Linked DNA regions of Drosophila melanogaster. The protein of the gene in region 1 interacts with the protein of each later gene in a pairwise test. Each region holds a gene or a part of one and is shown in the gene's direction. Other genes may lie near its edges.

Evidence for each region.
Region 2: the proteins of CG5225 (region 1) and CG31626 interact in a two-hybrid assay, tested with the Drosophila melanogaster proteins (one large-scale study listed by BioGRID).
Region 3: the proteins of CG5225 (region 1) and CG17777 interact in a two-hybrid assay, tested with the Drosophila melanogaster proteins (one large-scale study listed by BioGRID).

What each region holds. Positions count from the first base shown.
Region 1 is NT_033777.3:17,026,693-17,033,077, forward strand, and holds CG5225 (uncharacterized protein), read left to right. Parts: upstream 1-2,000; 5' UTR 2,001-2,013; coding exon 2,014-2,044; intron 2,045-2,106; coding exon 2,107-2,739; intron 2,740-2,851; coding exon 2,852-3,972; 3' UTR 3,973-4,009; downstream 4,010-6,385. Other genes in the region: Pxd (peroxidase), read left to right, coding at 1-226, 289-445, 507-876, 940-1,045, 1,104-1,209; CG31268 (uncharacterized protein), read left to right, coding at 5,125-5,155, 5,217-5,606, 5,672-6,385.
Region 2 is NT_033779.5:21,232,529-21,239,740, reverse strand, and holds the start of CG31626 (uncharacterized protein), read left to right. Parts: upstream 1-3,007; 5' UTR 3,008-3,097; intron 3,098-5,705; exon of another isoform or gene 5,706-5,838; 5' UTR 5,839-6,103; coding exon 6,104-6,106; exon of another isoform or gene 6,107-6,241; coding exon 6,242-7,096; 3' UTR 7,097-7,212.
Region 3 is NC_004354.4:2,182,714-2,189,712, forward strand, and holds CG17777 (uncharacterized protein), read left to right. Parts: upstream 1-4,141; 5' UTR 4,142-4,215; coding exon 4,216-4,227; intron 4,228-4,434; coding exon 4,435-4,755; 3' UTR 4,756-5,028; downstream 5,029-6,999. Other genes in the region: Nmd3 (Nonsense-mediated mRNA 3), read right to left, coding at 200-836, 897-1,825; CG17776 (uncharacterized protein), read left to right, coding at 2,252-2,464; CG3457 (uncharacterized protein), read left to right, coding at 5,184-5,762.

The sequences.
Region 1 (6,385 bases):
AGGAGGCGCGAAAGATCAACATTGCCCAGTATCAGCAGATCAGTTACTACGAATGGCTGCCCATCTTCTTGGGTGGCGAGAACATGCTGAAGAACCGGCTGATCTACAAGGCTCCATCCGGAAGCTATATCAACGATTTCGATCCCAACATTGATCCATCGGTGCTGAATGAGCACGCGACGGCCGCTTTCAGATACTTCCATTCCCAGATTGAAGGTCGTTTGGAGTAAGTGCCTATTTACTATTATGAGTTAAGAACATTTTATTAATTTTAAAATTTTTGTGCAGTCTACTGTCCGAGCTGCGTCAAGTTCTCGGCTCTCTGACCCTCAGCGACTGGTTCAATCGTCCCGGTATTATTGAGGTTGGAGATAACTTTGATTCCCTGACCAGAGGACACGCCACGCAGCCCGAAGAGCTAACTGATATCAATTTTGACCGACAGGTGGGTACACAAATAACAAAATGAGACCACCTTTCTAACCTCTCAACCTTTCCTGGCTTAGATCAAGCACTTCCTGTTCAGAAGAAACATGCCCTTCGGTTCCGATCTGCGTTCCCTGGACATTCAGCGTAATCGCGATCACGGTCTGGCTTCCTACAATGACATGCGGGAATTCTGCGGACTGAGACGTGCCCACTCGTGGGAGGGATACGGTGATCTAATAAGTCCACCAATTCTGGAAAAACTTAAGTCGCTATACCCGAGCCACGAAGACGTGGATCTGACTGTGGGCGCCTCCTTGGAGGCGCATGTGGCCGGAGCTTTGGCTGGACCCACCTTCCTGTGTATCCTCACGGAACAATTCTACAGAACCAGAGTGGGCGATCGCTTCTTCTTCGAAAACGGAGACAAGCTCACTGGATTTACTCCTGGTAAAAAGAACATTTCTCCTCTGACTATTTTAAATATTAATTTATTTATGTCTAATTTCGTAGATCAACTGGAGGAGCTGAGGAAGGCCAGTATGGCTCGTTTGCTGTGCGACAATGGCAACCACATTTCATCCATGCAGCCCGAAGCTTTCCGGACTGTTTCCCATTCGTAAGTTTAAATTGATTAAATTGGTTATTTGGAAAGTAACTGAGCTCTGAAATTACAGGAATCCGATTATACCGTGCTCAAATATTCCACAAGTCGACCTCACCAAATGGATTGATCAAAAGCTATATGCCACTGTAGATCCGTCTCACTACGGAAAGAAGTAATCCGCTGCTGTGGGATCTATGCTTAACTAGTTGAATACAAATACATTTAGCTTAATCAATAACATAAACGTAAATGCAAAGCCCCTCCCCCCCCCCCCCCCCTTGTATGATAATGTCCCAAACTGATGTACAGAAATAAAGCCCTTACCATTTAAACAATCAGCTTTACTTTCAGTGACCTGATAATGTTTGTAAGATTTCACGGAAATGAAAAGAAGTCAAGGGCAAATCCCAATGCCATCCAGACCCGACCCCTTCTTATGCAATAGGCCCGGATAAAGAAATGCCGGGTCCGAAAACCTTTACACTTTCGTTGACTTTGGGATAGCTCCGATTCATCGGGGTTAATCATATGGAGACGCGCGACCGAGGTGTGAACAAGTTGATAGAAACGGCCAATTAAGAGACAAAACTCTTTTTTCTGCCATTTTTAAGTCATGGTTCATTCGAATCGTAAAGCGAAACAATCGGCAACAGAGAATGTGTTCTTTTTTGCATATGTCTTCTGTTTTCAAATGGAAGTTAACATATTAATACTTCAGAGGCGGTTCACTTTTGGATTGGACATAAATTTACATATATAAGTTTAGAGAGAACCCAGGATGATAGCATCATCGCGAACAGGTTTGCATATTTTCCGAGAGATTTGGCAAGCAGATTTCTGAATGGACATGATATAACGGTTCTAGTGAATCTAGATTAATGAAAGTGATTTAAACAAAGTGTGCATACAAGATTAAGAGTTCATAATGCGGTATAAAAGTGATCCGTCCGCCGGAGAAAGGCAGCAGATACCATTTCGCCATGAGGCTGTTCGCAGTGATTTTTTGGATAGGTAAGGAATATGATTCAAATAGGATGGATCTGATTTCTAATTGGGATTCATTTCCTTTCCAGGCTGGGCCTTTGGCCTAGCGAATTCCAAGAACCCGAGTGCCGAGACGGGCAGACTGATAGCATCTCTACAAGCTGCTCCGGCTCCGGCGCCAGCACAAAGTGTGATCTACAAGCTGCCACCACAGCACTACTATCCGCCACCACCGCCGCCGCCTCCGCCTCCGCCACAGCACTGCAATTGCCCGCCAGGTCCACCGGGGCCTCCTGGACCGCCGGGCTTACCAGGAACGCCTGGTCCGCAAGGTCCCAAGGGACACACTGGGTCCAAGGGCGAGCGAGGAGAGAAGGGAGAACGCGGTCACTACGGACTACCAGGCCAACCAGGTGAACCGGGACCTATTGGTCCACCGGGACTACCAGGCCCACCCGGTCACAAGTCGGGACATGGTCACCATGATCATCATGATCACCACCATCATCATCCAGCGCCACCGCCACCACCTCCACCTCCGCCTCCGCCGCCTCCACCACCACCACCACCACACTCACACCCGCATTCACATCATCCCCACCCGCCGATCGTGACGCCACCAATTATAGTTCCCATACCATTGCCACCGCAGAAAGGTGAACATGGTCACCATCATCACCACAAGGGATCCAAAGGTCCACCCGGACCTCCAGGCCCACCAGGTAAGAGAAAATCGTTACTCATATATATCACAACGCTCTAACAGTGAAAATATTGAAAGGATATATTATAAGTCATTTTCCAAAATTTTACTGAGTATTTAATCTCTTGCAGGAACGGGACCACCGGGTCCTCCAGGACCTCCAGGCACTACGTATCCACAACCCCCACCACCACCACCACCACCGCCACCTCCACCACCATCGTACCCATACCCACCGTACCCGTATCCACCACCTGGTCCTTATCCGGGACCATGGATTCCTCTGCCAGTGCCAGTGCCCTGGCCCTCAAAGGGACATAAGGGGGATAAAGGTCACAAAGGAGGTCATAAGGGAGACAAGGGCGGACACCACCATCACTATTATCCACCAGGACACGATAAGGGAGGCTACTATCCGTATCCACCCCACGGTGGCCATGGAGGCCATCACCATCCAGGCCACAATTATCCAGGCCCCTATCCGCCACCATATCCACCTCACCATCCACATGATGGCGGAGACAAGGGTTATCACCATTATCCACCCCACAATCACGGAGGGCACAATCACGGGGGACACAACAACCATCATCCACCTCACAATGGAGAGCACAACCATAATCATCCCCCTCACAATCACGGAGGACATGGCCACCATCATCCCTCACACAATCACGGAGGGCAGGACCCACATAATACACACCCCCACACTGGTACACACGGAAATGGAGGACACAGCCAAACTTCACACCACCAGCACCCCCATCATCATCAACCAAAACCCACTAAGCCAGAGGGTAGTGGCGAGCAAACTCCACGGGATGATCTGGACTTGCTAGATGAAAATGTGGAGATTGTCGAAAACATAATTGATGAAAATGATAACGAAAATAATTTCATGGAGGGCGAGGAGGAAATGTCCAATGAGCCCAATGACTTGGAGACGGAACCCGAGGATGCGGACTACGGCCTTGAATATGCAGATAACACAGTGGAGAATCCCGAATCTCCGAGTGGCGCTGAAGAAATCGATGATGAGGATTCAAGCTATATGGTACCAGAAGGAGATGATGCGATGGAAGAGGACCATATGATGGAGGACCAGATGGACCCAGTGAATATGATGGAGGATAACGCACCTATGGATGGAGATGCAATTGAGGAGCGAACCAACAAAGGTCCGATTATCCTGTCAATTGGAACTCCTCGAAATCCCTTTCACATTTACGCCTATGAACAGTATAATATATAAATAAGCCAACACCACGAGAAAATAAAAAAATAACATTAAAATATGAGTCTTTTATGGGTTTTCTAACAATTTAAAAATACTACTTTTTGGGTTTCATTTAGAGATTTTGATACAGTTAATAAAATTTAAATGTTTAATAATAAACAAAAGCAGTGAACCTCTGTAGATTTCCGTATTAATAAGATCATCTCGCAGAATTCGTATAGCAAAAAATTTAAATGTATAAACAATAAACTGCGTTATTGTTAGCTGTCAAAATAGTTCCGTTGTTCTTGGAAATGTCTGCGGCTTTGTTAGATTTTCTATAAAATAACAATGGACAAAGATATGAAAAAAGTGAAATCATATTGAAATAAGCTATTAATTCAATGACAATCGAATGAAATTGCCAACTCAAATCATTTATCAAAATACAATGGTAAATTGTTGAATCTTATCAGCTAGGCAAGTAAAATTGTTTGTAATATATGTATTTAACTTTTGGCAGATATGAAATTAATAAGTTCAAATGTTTTCAGGTATTAGGTTGATTAAATTCATTAATAAATTTCTTTGTCCATAAATTAGTTTTGTACGACTTTTTAAAGCATGCGTGCGTCACGTTGATCCAATGCCTTAAAGTCTTGAAGAATTTTGAACGTCATATTAAATTTCACTATTTAAAAGCAATTTGTATGATAACGATAATGAAGAAGATAAGTCAGATCGTCCCATTTTTGCGGTATTCTTATTTTATTGCCCCGTAAATAAAACAATGGGGGCTGAAATGGAACAATCAATGCCGACATGGAACCAAATAAATAACTAAAGAAAGTTAATAAAACTTGTGCCATAATATACATTTTAATTCTTAAATAATAACCAAACATTTAAGCCCTAATTGTGGTAATCAATTTAATAATAGTATTAGCACATCGACAAAATGGAATAAATCATTTTTCTTGAGCCTCATCGAATTCCATGCGTGTGTATCTGGACCAATCTTCGGTTAAATTTATGCGAAATCATTAGGCTGATGAGATCTGAGATTTGCGATTTACATTTTACGTGTTTCGCATTAACCCATTAAAGTCTAGACCAACTGTTCTTAAGGTCTATATAAGAGATGATCTAAGACGAGCAGGTGTTCATTCACGAATGAGACGTCTTGAAATGAAGCTGCTCACGGTTCTGCTGTTCATAGGTAAGCCGAGTTAAGAAGATAGAACCTTAGAACATTACTTTACCTGATTCTTGCATTTTAGCCATCTCAGCATTTTGCGAGGGATCATGGCTGCTTTCCCCAGTCAAGCCGGTTGAAGTAGAATCGCGGCCAAAGACAAAGAAACCAGCTCATAATAACAACAATCTGTACTATTACAGTCCTGAAGCGATAGATTCTTCCTTTTACTACGGCTTTCAACCCAATTGCCAATGTCGCCCAGGCCCGCCAGGACCTCCTGGGCCACCAGGAATTCCTGGTCTGCCAGGTGTAGAAGGAGCGCCAGGAGAAAAGGGGGATCGTGGTGACCGTGGAGAAAGTGGTCAAAGGGGTAGGCCGGGTAAAACTGGATTTCCGGGACCAATTGGTCCACCAGGACTACCTGGACCACCAGGCCGCCCTGGCAAATCTTCATCGCATGAACAGAAACAAGGTACAACCATTATTTACTTGCCAGCAATTCCAGCGGACAAGCCGCCAAAAATGGAAAACCCACAGGCAGCAATGAAAACCCACCACCCGATAATAGAAACGACATTAAAAAGACAAACAAGCCTCGGGCACCGCAGCTTTTGAGGGCAAATTCCGATGAAATTAAATATCTCAATGTTAGTCCGCAACTGGCCCAAAACCACAAAAACCGAAATCGCAAAAGTCAAATTACTTTCGCCCATTTCGATCGTCAGAAAATCAACCAGAGTAACAAGATAACAACTTTGACTAAGAACTTACAAACAGTGACCAATTCCCAAAAACACAAAACAAACGCTCCAATGCGCCGAAAGCAGACTCCTAATCGAAAGGTAATTAAAAATACAACTACTGATTTAAGCAGTTCAGATCGTCAGTCAGTTAACAAAATGAAGGGCAACAATCTTGGCGAGAAAAACATATTGACTGATGCAAATAACAGCATGAATTTGAATATCAGCCACGTCGGATCCCAACAAACGAAAAACGTAACTAAAACTGGTGTAAAAAGTAGTCAAATTGATGATATACCAATACCAGCCGATGTATCTGCAATAAATTCTTTAAACAAAGAAGTAAATTCACAGATATCTAATACTACATTGCAAAGTATCATTCTGGAAGAGACGACTCTACCGAATAATATTAAAATAACAGATGAAAAGCTAGATCTTAACAAATTAATAACGATTACCGAAGAGGCGCCCGATGCGATTCATACAACAACAGTTCAAAATGAGA
Region 2 (7,212 bases), on another chromosome or scaffold:
TCCGCAATGTATAATCCGGAGCCAATCAACTTCCAAACTCGCGGTCAACCTTCGGACAGACTGAATCCCAGCTTACGAAATGAGAAGAGTTGAACGGTAAGAAGGCACGGTAAGAACGGCTGATAGACACAAAAACCGCAAGCGACGCAGTCAAAATAATAATGAGCCCGACATTTAAAATGGTTTATGAGACAGCCCCTTCTGCGGCTCCTCGAAAGCACAAGACTTGGCCCAGCCGCAGCCTCATCAGCAGCGTTGTCAGCCGCAGAATTGGCGATTCTTCGATTTTTCTGGGTCAAGCACCACGCGAAAGCAGAAAGAGCTAAAGACTTGGCCCAAGAAATGTGTGGTAGAGGTAGAGTTCAAAACGTGCCTTGGCCGTACTATTCAGACATGCAGTGCCTTCCCACCCTCTTATTCTCCCTGATCGAGACCGTCTCTGTTTCGTTGTCGAAACAATTTCCGGCGGCTGCACCGAGAAAAATATAACGTGTAACGATGATCGAACAATAAAGACAAGCGAATCTATACAGAGTCAATTCGGAAAGCTTTAAGTTTTCTAGAACCGAACATAACACATGTTTAATTAAAGCCTTTATGGCGTCCTTTTTGCGCTTTCAGAGCTCGGTAGAGTTGAATGTCAATGTAATGAGCCAGCCAAGTTCGGGTCATAAAGCCTCTGCCACATGAAAGTAGTTCAAGTACTCAACGGCGCCGTTACATTTCACTGCTTATGAATTGGGAGTCGCCCGGCCAGACAGTCCGCCAGACGACACTGACTTCCCGATGTGTTAATAATTTTGTTTTGATTTCAGGGATTCGAAAAGCCTACTTTGACTCTGTGGAAGGGGATAAGAAAATATAGCGCTTGAATTGGGCCTCTTGGATCTTTAAATTTAAAGGACAAAGGAATATTAAATCACTTAAAAAATGGTAATTTTTACAGCCCCTATATTGTTGTCCTTAAATACAAATGAAATGAAAGCATATGGTTTATACGATTCGCCCAGTTTTCACGATGTTCCTTTTGAAATCACATCAAGTTATGGGATGGACATCATGGACATCAATTATGGGAACATTTTGTTTTTAAGGAAATGAGATCATCTTACCATTTTAAAATACCTAAAAAATTATGGGAACATTTTGTTTTTAAGGAAAGGAGATTATCTTACCATTTAAAAATAACTAAAAGTATTCCAATTGTCCCTTTCTCAGTCTATCAAGATTTTAATGTATTTCCGTTGCTGTGTTGATAAGATTTGTTACCCAAAAGCCAGTTGGGATTTCACGTTTTACTCGTTTTGTTCGACTCACATTCTAGTCACATTTTCATAGAGAATTCGTTTAATTTGCGTGCACATTATGCGTATAACATTTCTTGTGCAATATGTACCCGACTGGAAGCCACTTGATGCCAATCGAGGAAATTATTGCACGACAAATATCGGATTTTTCACCTGTGAATTAATAACGGTAAATTACTCATCCAGCGTCGCGGCGGGCGCACTTGTATGGGTTAACGAGCGAGCAAGCAAGTCAACGAATTCACAATAAAATAAACAAAATGCAGACGCGAAAAATCGACGAAACTTGTTGGAGCTGAAAACGCGGAAACTGTTGCAAGCGAATCGAAACCAGAAAAACTTTTCTGCACACTCTGTCCAATCAGAACAAACACTCGAACTCTTCTCTCCCACACACACTACACCAGCACTCACACGCACAAGTTCTGCTCTTGCACTTGCCTCTTTCTACTGCTTTCTTTGAGTCTTGGGTTTTATTTTACACGACTGCGGCGCTCTTGTTGCGTTTTCCTCACCTTTCGCAGAGTTTATTGACATTTTCAGCGTTCGCTTTGTGCGCTGCTTTCTTCGTGCGCAATCTCTTTTTTCTCTCGCCAGTCTGTTCGCTCTTTCTCTCTTTCCCTTTCTTCTCTCCGCTCACAACACTTGCTTTTTTGTTTACAATGGAACGCTCGCACACACACACTGGTAAACGGGTCACTCACACGCACACAGAATAACCTTCAATTTTATCTTATTGCGCGCGCCCCAGTCACTCGTTATTCTTAAACTTTGCCGAAATTAGGATTTGCTTTGGTTCGCTGCTGCAGCTTTAAATATCAATCAATGTCTTTGCAATGCTGGTGTGGTTAGAAATCCACATTCACCTCGACGCCTCTTCCACACACCCATACACGCAGCCACGGACGACCTTTGCGGTGCGAGCGAGACGACCCGCCACAAAAAACTCCACTTCCGCTCTCTCGTTCACCCGTTGTGCTGACGGCGAAAAGGTTTTCGAATTAAGTACATACATATATTCTTATTCACTTATTCACGGATTTAACTACATATGCCACTGTAGGCGCTACCACTCTTTTTCGCTCACAGCATGAACGGTGTTTTGCGCTCGAATCCGATTCCACAACCGCTCTAGCGATCACACGACGCAACACAGTCCCGCCTGCGACGAAGTAGCAAAATGTTTGTTTTGTTAGTGGAGCTCTCGGTCTGTTAGCGAGCGTTGCCACCTTTCTGCGAGCTGTTGCTGCACACTGCCACTTTACGAACACAGATCTGATAGCGGGACAAAATACGTCAAGGCAGCGACGGTGGGTTACTAGTGAATTTGGAACGGTGGTCTTACGACGTAATGGTCTTTTATATTTTCATTATTTTTTAAATTGTCGCTCATTTACCAATAAACCTTTTTACTTTTTCCTGATAGTCCGAAGTCAGATCAAATAGGAAGTTTCACAAAAAATTTTCATCCAGAGAAAATACGCCGACGCTATTCGAGTTTTTTGTATTCGTTAACCGGGAAAGAATAGTTCGAATTCGTTCGCACTTTATCGATAGTAGATTGCTATTATGGAGCCCACTTGTAAAATAATTTAATTCCAGACTGATAAAAGCGATCAACTTTTGTTAGTGGTTTAAGTCTATGATAATACTTAGTTCAAATTGTTTCAAAGTAGTCGATAATTTATAATAACAGTTTTAGATGACCTCTAGGAAATAACTAATTACCCACATTCTTCAAGAAGTGTTTTCAATTTGTTCTATAATTAAATAACAGTTGTATTAATTATGTAAATATTGTTACTCATAATACAAATTAAACAATATAAACACACATAAATAAGAGAATTGGAATATTTTGTCTCAGATTAGATTTTCCACACGGGAAATTTAAATCACCACGTTTGGTAATATCGTATCGTTTTATCCTAAACGAAACACGCTTATTAATACATAAGCTAATTGTTTTTATACCCGTTACTCGTAGAGTAATAGGGTTTACTAGATTCGTTGAAAAGTATGTAATAGGCAGAAGGAAGCGTTTCCGGCCATATTAAGTATATATTCTTGATCAGGATAAATAGCGGAGTCGAACTGGTCATGTCCGTCTGTCCATATGAACGTCGAGATATCAGGAACTATAAAAGCTAGAAAGGTTGAGCATCGACTCGGCTTAATAAGAATATATTTTATATCTGTTAGACATTTTATCGGATGAATTGTAACAGGTATAATAAACGATTTCTTATATATCGTCAGACATGTGTGTATATTTTGAACGAAACAACTTAAATTAGTTTGTAATGTTATTTTATAAATTCCATCCTAATAAATATTACTGGATTTGCAATGAGTTCCTTAGAACATATTAGTACTCGTGTTTCACTAACCATGTCCATCAAGCTGACACTGCTATGAATGGGTATGTGTGATGGGTATCTGGTGGACAAGCTCTGATCTAAATGGTGTTGTCCATCCCAATAGCACTGACTTGTCTGTAGTCTAAACTGTGAAACACTCCTTTATTACTGAATTCTAGATAAATGTACATACATATGTATACTACGGAGTGGTTGCGAAATCAGAGGCAATCAGATATTGAAGCAAGTTCAAGTGACATACAATGGAATTGGTCGTGTATAGCCGCCTATAAAGACATTAATAGACGACCCCAAAGCTCTCATTTAAGCTTAGCTTTAGTTTTCGGTAGATACAACTTATTAGTGTCAGAGATATTGAGCTTTGGTCGGCCACTGCATTTACATTATTTATTGCGTAATATTTAAATTGATAAATTGCGCATATATGCTAATGCTAAGTCTTCAATCCATATGTTATATTGTATTTTCACGCATTTTTAGATGAAGAAAACATTCTTGACTCGGATCGACTACGATCCACATTGGCATATGTTTGCCGTGCATAATATGGGTATTCTCCATTTAAATGTCTTTGGATGTGGTTAGCTAATTGGTTAATTAAGTGAGACCGCGGGCAGAAAATATCGACGAAAATACATTTTTGTGCAAGACAAGCCAAGCCACGTTTCTCATTTCGAATCGTGGTTGCTGTGTGAATTTTTTAAAATTGGAATTATTAAAACGGATTACGCCTGTTTTATTTACCATTTGCGGCTCCTTCTTTTTCTGTAACAAAAAAATATGACACTGGTGGTTTAAAGTAGGCTAAGCAAATTCGCGATGCCTCATGAATAGGTTTCGCTTAAGTGACAGATGCTTTCAAATGCAGCATTTTTGCATTGGAAATTAAACCATATGCGAGTCTGCGATTAGTAATATATCAATAAGCAGAGCGCCGGGTGAGGGTCGATCGCAAGCGAAAAATGTTTCAAAATGTTTAAATATTTTTGGAACGTTGTCTTTGTGTACGTATTTCTAAAAGTTAGTTACGTTTAAGTATATGGGTACTTTTCTGAGCCCAGTTATCAATCAAAATGTAGGAATCATATTTTCGTAACTATAGGGGACAATAGCTATTAAACGCTTTAGAGGCTGTTTACAAAACAGTGAGGTGTCACAGTCCCGAAAAATGTTGTCTCACGATTGGGCAAAAATGCCCTTATAATGCCCAATCAGATTCAGCTTCAGCTTGGGTGGTTTCCACTCGACCCATAAGTGGGGTAAGTCCCATTTAATATTCAAAATAATAACCCCACATATGTGTGTATATACGTATATAGGTGTGTGTCCGTATTTACAAGTTTTCTGAGGCTAACGCCAAGCTGGTAATCCTTGAGCGCTTGGTCGAGCATGTAGTTTGGTCATTAGCACCGGCTAATAGTTAAACAAACTGATTTCCGCTAACTGCACCGGCGAACGCATATCAGTTGACCTTTGACATTAGCCGGCAGAGGCCCTTTAATCGCTTCGTGGCCAGCTGCCTCGCATGCAAATGAGTGTTGGCGTGTCCCGTGGCCGCTCGTCGGCGGAGTCTCGCGGCCAAGCTGCCCTATTGACATTGCCAAACCCGTCCAAATCCCCCGATATCAACGAGCGGCTGCCGGCGAACTGTCACGGTCTTAACCCCGCGCTGGGCACTAAAAAATTGCATCGAAGACTGCCCGGGCAGTTGGTCTGCTCGGGTTGGGTTTCTTGTGATAATACATTTTACTGTATTAGCATGAACAGTTTTCCAATATATCGAAAACTCCCCTTGTTTTTCTATGCATCTGGGTGTGGTTTCTTTGTTAGAGCTGTCAGTTAATTATAAAAAGTGTGCTCCCATATGAATGCTTGGTCCAAATAATTTAAAAAAAAATAACAGATCTCAACTTTTGCTTTAAGAAACTAAAATACCCTAAGCAAATAACCTTTAAGTAGAATTTAATGTAGTTTAATTAATTAACGACTTAATCATGTATTAAACAAGGCGAATATTATAGTTTTTTTTTTTTTAATTCTCCCTAAACCATATTCAAAACTTGAAAATTAACGTTTCTTAATGTTAATACGTAAGATCAAAGGGAAAAATAAAATAAATATATCTTTGTTTCGTTTTGATCGCCCAACAGCCGCCTCTGGGTTAATGATCACTGCTCCGCTCTCTTCTTAACTGTCTACCTTTTCTTCGACTAGAAGAAGCGCCAGGCCCACACCGAAGACGCGAAGACGGATATCCAGCAATAATAATGGGCCAGACCAAGTTAAGCATGGCTTTTGGTATAAAAGTGCGGGCCCATCTGCAGTTCGACATCATTCAGCTTGAGCGTCTTGCGACAAGAGCTTGCCAAAGCAAATCCAACGAACTTTAAAAGCCCGACCAACAAATCAATAACAATGGTGAGTAAACTGTCCACTGGTCACAACTTCGATCAAGAAAGCCGTTGGCCTTGCTCAACCGCTCGCCTTGGCCAACCGTCAAGATGTCGGGGATCCCGATCGCTCACTTGACCCTTAAATTTCCGCTTATTTTAGAAACTCTTCGTCTTCGCTGTGTGCGCCATCGCCTTGGCCTCCGCCGATGTTTCCCACCTTAACCTGGGCAGTGGTTATAGCTACAACAAGCCCACGCCGACCTTCAACATCCCCTCGGCTCCAGCTCCAGCTTATCTGCCACCCGTTCAGGAGGTGATATCTGCGCCGGCTCCAGCTCCTGTGTACTCTGCTCCTGCGCCTGCTCCTGTTTACTCCGCTCCAGCCCCAGCCCCAGTCTACTCCGCTCCGGCACCAGCACCTGTTTCGGAGTACCTGCCTCCTGTTCAAGACATCCCAGCTCCAGCTCCTGTTTATTCTGCTCCTGCTCCAGCTCCAGTTTACTCTGCTCCTGCCCCAGCTCCAGTTTACTCTGCTCCTGCGCCAGCTCCTGAGTACTTGCCTCCCGTCCAGGACATTCCAGCTCCGGCTCCAGCTCCCGTTTACTCCGCTCCTGCACCTGCTCCTGTTTACTCCGCTCCAGCCCCAGCTCCAGTCTACTCTGCTCCCGCACCAGCACCCGTTTCGGAGTATCTGCCTCCTGTTCAAGACATCCCTGCTCCCGCCCCAGTGTATTCTGCTCCTGCGCCAGCTCCGGTATACTCTGCTCCTGCCCCAGCTCCAGTTTACTCTGCTCCTGCGCCAGCTCCCGAGTATTTACCTCCCGTCCAGGACCTTCCCGCTCCTGCGCCCGCTCCAGTTTACTCTGCTCCTGCTCCAGCTCCAGCTCCAGTTTACTCGGCTCCTGCTCCCGCTCCAGTTTACTCTGCTCCTGCTCCAGCTCCAGTTTACTCTGCCCCAGCTCCCGTGGAGTCGGGCTACCAGTACAATGTGCCTGCCAAGCGTTTCCGCTTCTAAATGGACATCAGGTGGATTCCAAAGAGTTCCGCAGCCATTTGAGTGGTGACAGCTTGTTAAATTAACAAGTGCCGTCGCCCATTGTTGTTGAATATTTGTTGTTACGCAAAGTTCCC
Region 3 (6,999 bases), on another chromosome or scaffold:
GGCAAGCGAGTGAAATATGGAAGCAATCAGTATTCCAAATTTAAGTTACTTTGCAACCTTGGTAACATAAAGGCAAATTAGTTTCAGAGTATTCACACATTAAGCTCTATCCAGTTTCCTAGTTGTTTATATGGATTAAGCGATTATGTACAGGGTATACATGGGTAAAAGAAAGCGTTATGATTAATAAAAAAAAGGACTACAACTGTGGCTCGGTATCGTCAGCACCTCCCTCCTCGCCCATTTCGTCGTCTGCACACTCTAATGTCATATCTTCCAACATCTCCTCCAGTGTGATCTGGGGCACATCACCTCCAGCGGCCTGTACCTCGATTGGTATCGTCTTGTTAGTGTCCCGATAGATGTTGACCTGACCGCGGATATCCTCGTTTTCCTCGAGATCGTCAAGAAACTCGTGGTAGTCGTACTTGCTGCGCTCATCGGTAGCCTCCGCCGCCAGATGCTTAATCTTCCACACGCGCTGACTGAGTCTGGTCTGTCGATCGTAGTGCTTGCGCACAAGAATTACATCCGGAATTTCATCCGACGACAATTTGTCGAACTCCAGATCGTTGATGTTGGCCTCTCCGGTGTTGTAGCCCATTACGGAATCGCCCACCTTGAGCAGGTGGCCCAAGTGGGAGCGTGTGTGAATGGGGTTATCGTTGATGCCCAGCTCCGAGGCGCGCACCACCCAAATGTCGCAGAGAGCGTGCTTGAAGGAAACCTGCCCTTGACCAGGATAGGTCTTTCGATCCTTTTCCATGATCACATCAATGTCCATGACGACGTACTCAACCAGCTGCTTGGGATTGCAGACGGCCTCAAAGGGAGCTCTGAAAAAAGCAATTTAATTGGCTTACTCGAAGATAACCTTTGTCAAATAGGAGTCCCACCTGAAATAGACCTGCGAGGTGAGTTCTGCAATCTGTGCGGTCAGGGGATCAATCAAGTGAATGCTGCTAGACACCCGGTTGACCAGAACCAATGGCGAGAGATTTCCCAGCTGGTGGCGCAGCTTTTTGGACAGGCAAACTGCACTGTCCTTCGATACTGGTGCTATTTCCACTGACCAGTTGTACTTGTAGTTATAGTTGTTGCTGTGGATGTCGTGAGAGATGAGACGCTTCGAGGTTGTTACCTTGCCGGGCACCATGGTCAGGAGGAAATCAACCATGCGCCGGGCATGATTATCATTGGCATAGAAGAAATCCAGGCCGCCATGCTCCGGCTTTATGCCCAGAGTGTTCTCGTGGGCTTTGTGCTTAAGGATCAGCTGTTCCAGATAGTAAAAGGTTTTCTTGTTCTCGGCCCGCTGACGAACCTGCACGAGGCAGCGCCAGAAGTCCTTGGCCTCGGTCCGATGGCAGTCGTTGCACATCTGGTTCTGCACAGTGAACTCCACCACGAATACCTGCTGGAGCATCGTTCCCCCGATGATCTCCCCATGCACAGTCAGCTTCACCTTTATGCGCTTGGAGTGCTGTTCTGTCCAGATGAAGCCGGCATCCACCAACTTCACTTCCTTCAGGCCTTTTAGCTTCTTAAGGCAAATGGCCAAGAGTTCGCGGGACTCCAAGGCGGCCTGTATCCACTCGTTCGGCGGTTGCAGATAGCGCTCGCAATTACGACAGAAGTGGAGCACGGCCTGCTTTGGGATGTTCTCCGTGATGTCGACATGGTTGCGCAGGCAGGTGACGCACATGTTGGCCGGATTCGGCTGGATGGCCACTCCGCACTCGCAGCACAGGATGACGGCGTTCGATCCGGCGCCCTTGCCGTCCGCTGCGCCCAGCGGGCTAACCCCAACGTATTCGTGATCCATGAATCCTCCGGAGGTCTATTCGGTCCAGCTATTTCACAATGGCGTTGTAGAATACGATGAAATATTCCCACGAAGTACACAAATTTGTAAACACGTGCGTATAGGTGTATATCGATTGGCCAGAGATCAGCGATATTATTAATCGGCGATTTAAGTTAAGCCTTTTCCAGCTAGAGTAGCTAAAAGTGAGATTAACGATAAAACGACGTTAAACGAGTGAGACTCAAAGCTAAATGGGACATTTGGAACGATTTCCTAAAATTCACTTAAAAATATAGTACTCATTCGACTGTCTTCATCTTTATTTTGGCTAGTAAATGTACGCCCAATTATCGATACATTCGCCGCCGTCATCACTGACAGACCAGCTGAGGCGACGGACTCGACTGCCGGAAACTTTTATGGACTTGGAAGGGATTTGCCGCCATGCAGAAGAAGCCGATTAACACCAACACGCTGCTGGACAAGCTGCACCGCGGCGCGGTGTATGCCTGCATTGGAGTCACCCTGTACGGCACCTACATCCTGGGAATGCGCTACTACCACTACTGCACGGTCATCCGACCGGAGAAGCAGCAGGCGGAGCTGAAGCTCCTGGACGAGGGAGCCCACGACAAGGCCAAGGAACTGAAGTACTAGGCGCGCCCTCCTCCGCCCCTTTAATTGTTAAATGTCTGTTAAGCGCAATAAACTGTAAGGAAATGTAAGCATTTTCAGCTGAAAACGGCCAACGCCGGTTGTTGTTGTGTAACCTCGGACAGCTGGCCAAAGTGGAGGACCGTCGGCAGGCCCGGTGGGATTGTAAGATTCCAGATTCAAGATCTAACCCTGGAACCAAGCCAACAATGCGCAATTAGCCGTCTGGGCCGTAAATCAAACTGGTCGGCTACAATGGGAAATCAATCAATCGACAGCGACATGGACATCGACCCGTTCGGCGGACTAGACTTAGTCAAGAATTATAATTTAGCTGGCAATCAAATATGTTGTCATCTCCGGATCGTGACCAGGTCCCAGTCCATAGACCAAACCCCTTGGCTGCTTGGTCTTCCGCTTGCCCAACGCGTCTCGCGTGCATTCACCTCCAATGGGCAGAGCATAAATATTAAACGATGTGGATACGAAAACAACCGCGGGGAGAAGGAGACAATGGCGGTGCCACCCACTTTTGGCCAGAGATGGCGAGACGTCGTCGATTGGGAAAATCTTTTGCATGCTTCATTCAACAATGTTGCCTCCGGCGTTGCTTCATTCATGACTTGGGAACTCGGAGCAGCAAAAGCAACAGCCGCAGCAGACTGCAATTGCGATTTGCAATTGCCACTGCGGTCAAGGTCGTCCTTTATTGTGTGGGCACGGCACTGGGTACTGGGTAGCAAGTACCCCCGGCAGACGGAAGTGATCGAGAATAATGGAACGCGCAGAACAGAGTCGTCTGCCCAAATGGCTATCAAATTGTTTTAAAACTTTAGTATATTAAGCAAAAGCTGTGCTCCTCTGAATAGAAGATCTCTTCAACCTAGTTTCAAGCCCATTAAAACTAATGACCATTGACCTGGTCACCGATCCTTGTCCCAATATACCCCTTAAGCCAGAGGTCTCCGTCAAAGTCGTGCACTTTGGATATTCTGTCGATAAGACTTTGCATTGGAAATGATCTGGCAGAGATCTCAGCTGTCTGGCAGCTTAATTAAAATGCCAAAACGCTGCCAAACGTGCAATTGTTTGTAATTTGTGTATAATGCTGGCGCGCATATGCGATTCCCACGGGGCCAGTGGCATCCCAGCATTTGGCCAGCTTCTGAACGAGCTTAGGTAATAGTGCGCCTTTTGGGCGCTGCTGGCCATCCGATCTGGCAGTGAAAGTGTTACACGATATGCATACCGTGTACGAGAGGGGCACTTGGTGATTGTGGAACGCGTCGAGTGTCTCGTGTTGCACGTTGCTTGTGGATCGCGTTGCTGCCCCACTTCGGTTACCCAACGAGCCTGGGATCTTAGAATTTCGACTACGCTGGCAATTATAACCGATATCGTTAGTTTCCACGCCCACTCCACCTCACTCCCCCCACTGCAATCCTCCGCCAAGTTCTCCTCCGCCGGATGAGCGGATGGATGACCTTTTGGCTCCGCAGCATAAACAATATTCGGTTTCAAGTCCTCAACCCGTCATGCATTCAATTCAGCTGCAACAATCGCTGCTGCTGCTGCTGCTGCCGCCGTTATTGTCAGTTTGCATAATTGCAACTGTAGCAGCAACTGGCAACAATAAGCCAAGCCGGGTGACTATAAAAGCGTCGGGCCACTGGCAGCCATCAACAAACCTCGCCTGGCGCCCTACCCATCAAGTCAACCAGCCAACAGCCACTAGCAACATCTGCAGCAGCAACATGAAGTTCTTGGTAAGCAGCAACACCAGGACATTAGGATACCAGGATACCAGGACACCGGTCAAGCAAACGAGTGGACTTTTTTTTGAGTGACAGTTTATCCAACAAAATACAAGTTATTTAAAATTGCTGGAAGTGCTCTGGCTACAATTTGAAACAAATCATTTGTTAACATCGTTTCAAATGTTTCATATACCGAACCTTTTTTTCTCTGTGCAGTGCGTGTTCGTCATCCTGGCCATTTGCTTCATGAGCACCTGGGCAGCAGTTTCGGAGCCTGCTCCTGAAGCTCTGGAGCCGGAGCCATCCGCCGTGGATGAGAAGAAGACGGAGAAGAGAGGCATCTACGGGTTCGGCCACGGCTATGGCGGCTACGGCGGATACGGCGGATACGGTGCCTATGGACACGGTCACTACGGCGGCTACGGTGGACTGAGCAGTCCCTACTACGGCGGCTACGGATACGTCCATGCGGCGCCCTACTACGGCGGACACCACGGCTACTATCCGTACCACCATGGCCACTACGGCTTCTACTAGGACCACTACCTATCCCCAAGATCGTAATGCATACTGTTTTTTTTTTCTCGATCGCTCCATGCTCATCACTGCACCATCATTCGTATATGTATATGTACTGGTTTTCCCCCATCATTCACCGCAATATAAATGTACTGCAAATAGCGAATACATTACTCGCATGTCTTTGAATTTGGGTTGGATGTAGTACAAATATGATATATGTACATATGTAAACAAAGTTAAATCCTACTCAACAATAAAGAATCGATTACATTGCATATGTATGACAGTAAAAGTGATTTTCGGTCACTCTATGGGGGCCAGTGAAGGTATAAAGCCGCTATTGGCCCAGTGACTGTTATACAAAAGTCACTGTTCTAATTGCGATCGGCGCGTGACCACCAGTCTTTCGGATCATCAGCAAAAATCAGGAATTCGACTTCGAGATGCTGAAGCGCGATCTGCAGAAAATCACACTCAAGCTGTCCGATCTCAAGGACTATGAGGTTGCCCGCCAAAAGAACAAGTTAAAGGGCGCCCCGCGACCTAGGCTTTCTCAGGACGCCCTCCCCGGAGACGACGCCTCCACTTCGGGAACAACGGCAAGTTGCAGTTCCAACACGGAAACGGCCACGGAAACCGCATCGGGATCCGGATCAGGGTCTGGATCGGGCTCGGGTTCTGGGTCCGGGTCGTACATTACGGGAATGGGCTACCGTTCGGAGACACCCTCCTCCGCATCGTACACCACGTCGACGACCCCGACTCCGGCCACTCAGGAGGAGATACTGAGACCCTCGTCCGCCGTCACGGCCACCACAACCACTGGCACCACTAATTCCGGCTCCACGGATGACGTGAGCGTGGCGGCCGTAGTGGATGACACGGATACCATTGACGAAATCAGCGATGACAACTGGGTGGACCTGAATGCGGACACCAACGATACCGTTGATACCCAGCCGGAGGAGCAGGACCAACTGCAAGAGGTGGAGGAGGAGGATGGGGCTAGGGGAGGAGTGTAATCCTGACCGCTTATCGCGTTATGAAAACATAGCGCAGCTGCACTCAAAGCCCACCCCCCCCCCCCCCATTTCACATTCCATTTATCATAACAATTTGTATACGTAAACAAGTATAATAACCCATTGCATGCTCCACTTACCTAGCTGCTAATAATAATAGTTTGCAAGGTTATATGTCGCTTATGTCATCTTCAAATCGAAACATATGCATTTTATAGATTTGGTTAACTACGGTAAATGGTTTTGCGGCCTTTTAATCGGGAGGACGTGCGATCGGATTATATCGAGTGGGGAATGCGGGTCCTCCTAATTGGCTCTCCTCAGAAGGAGCTAGGCAAGCGGCAGACGACAACAAGTGGCTTATGGCCACCGGCAACAGGTGGACGCAGTGGAGTGGGCACTAGGGACTGTTGTGGAACGAGATGCTATTCAAGCGCCCAAGGGGTACGTGCAACGTGACTTGAGCCGTACAAAGCGGAGGAGGGGGTGGCCTCCAACGGAGCTGCCTCCACGAAAGCTTCCCTCAAAAGCTGAAAAGCTCGCAGGCATCGGCGCTGCATTCAAAATACGTGGCCATACTGTTTTCGGGCGGCAGGCTGGCCAAAACGGCGGTTTGAACTCAATCCCATCCGATTCGGCTCGGCTCGGCAGTACGGAGCACGGCAAACGGACGACGGAAAGTGGATAGCGGATAGCGGATGGCGGATGGCCGGCCTTCCGCCAATTACGGGTCGCTGGAGTCCACGGCCAAGCGATTGTCAATTAATTACTCGCCTAGGTTCGATATCCAACGGCTTTGGTTACTGTGTTCCGTGGTACAAGTGCCCGTCTCAGCTTCCGCATCCGTGTACCGTGCGCATCGGTATCGGCATCCCAAGCGGCATCGGTGACCGTGACCCAAGGATCGACCGGTAGCATCACGTGCCACGTGCCGGTTCATCAAAAAGTGCAAGGGTAAGTGGCCATGTGCACGGTGATGAGGAAGTTCTGCCCTCCTTCGGACGTAGCAAATACCTCTTACTCCAAGGGGGATCTCTGTCACTTGAAGTAAAGAGGAGGTTTCAGTGCCACGTAACATCTTTGGGCAGAGGCCTACCAAACTAACACCGCAAACGGGCAGGAATTGTAGTGATGGGCTCGTAAATACGTGGGAAACGTTTAACCTTTGAACCCCGTAACCTTTTGTCTGCGTATATTACCCTTTGCCATGCATATTCGGCCACCCAGTTGCACGGTA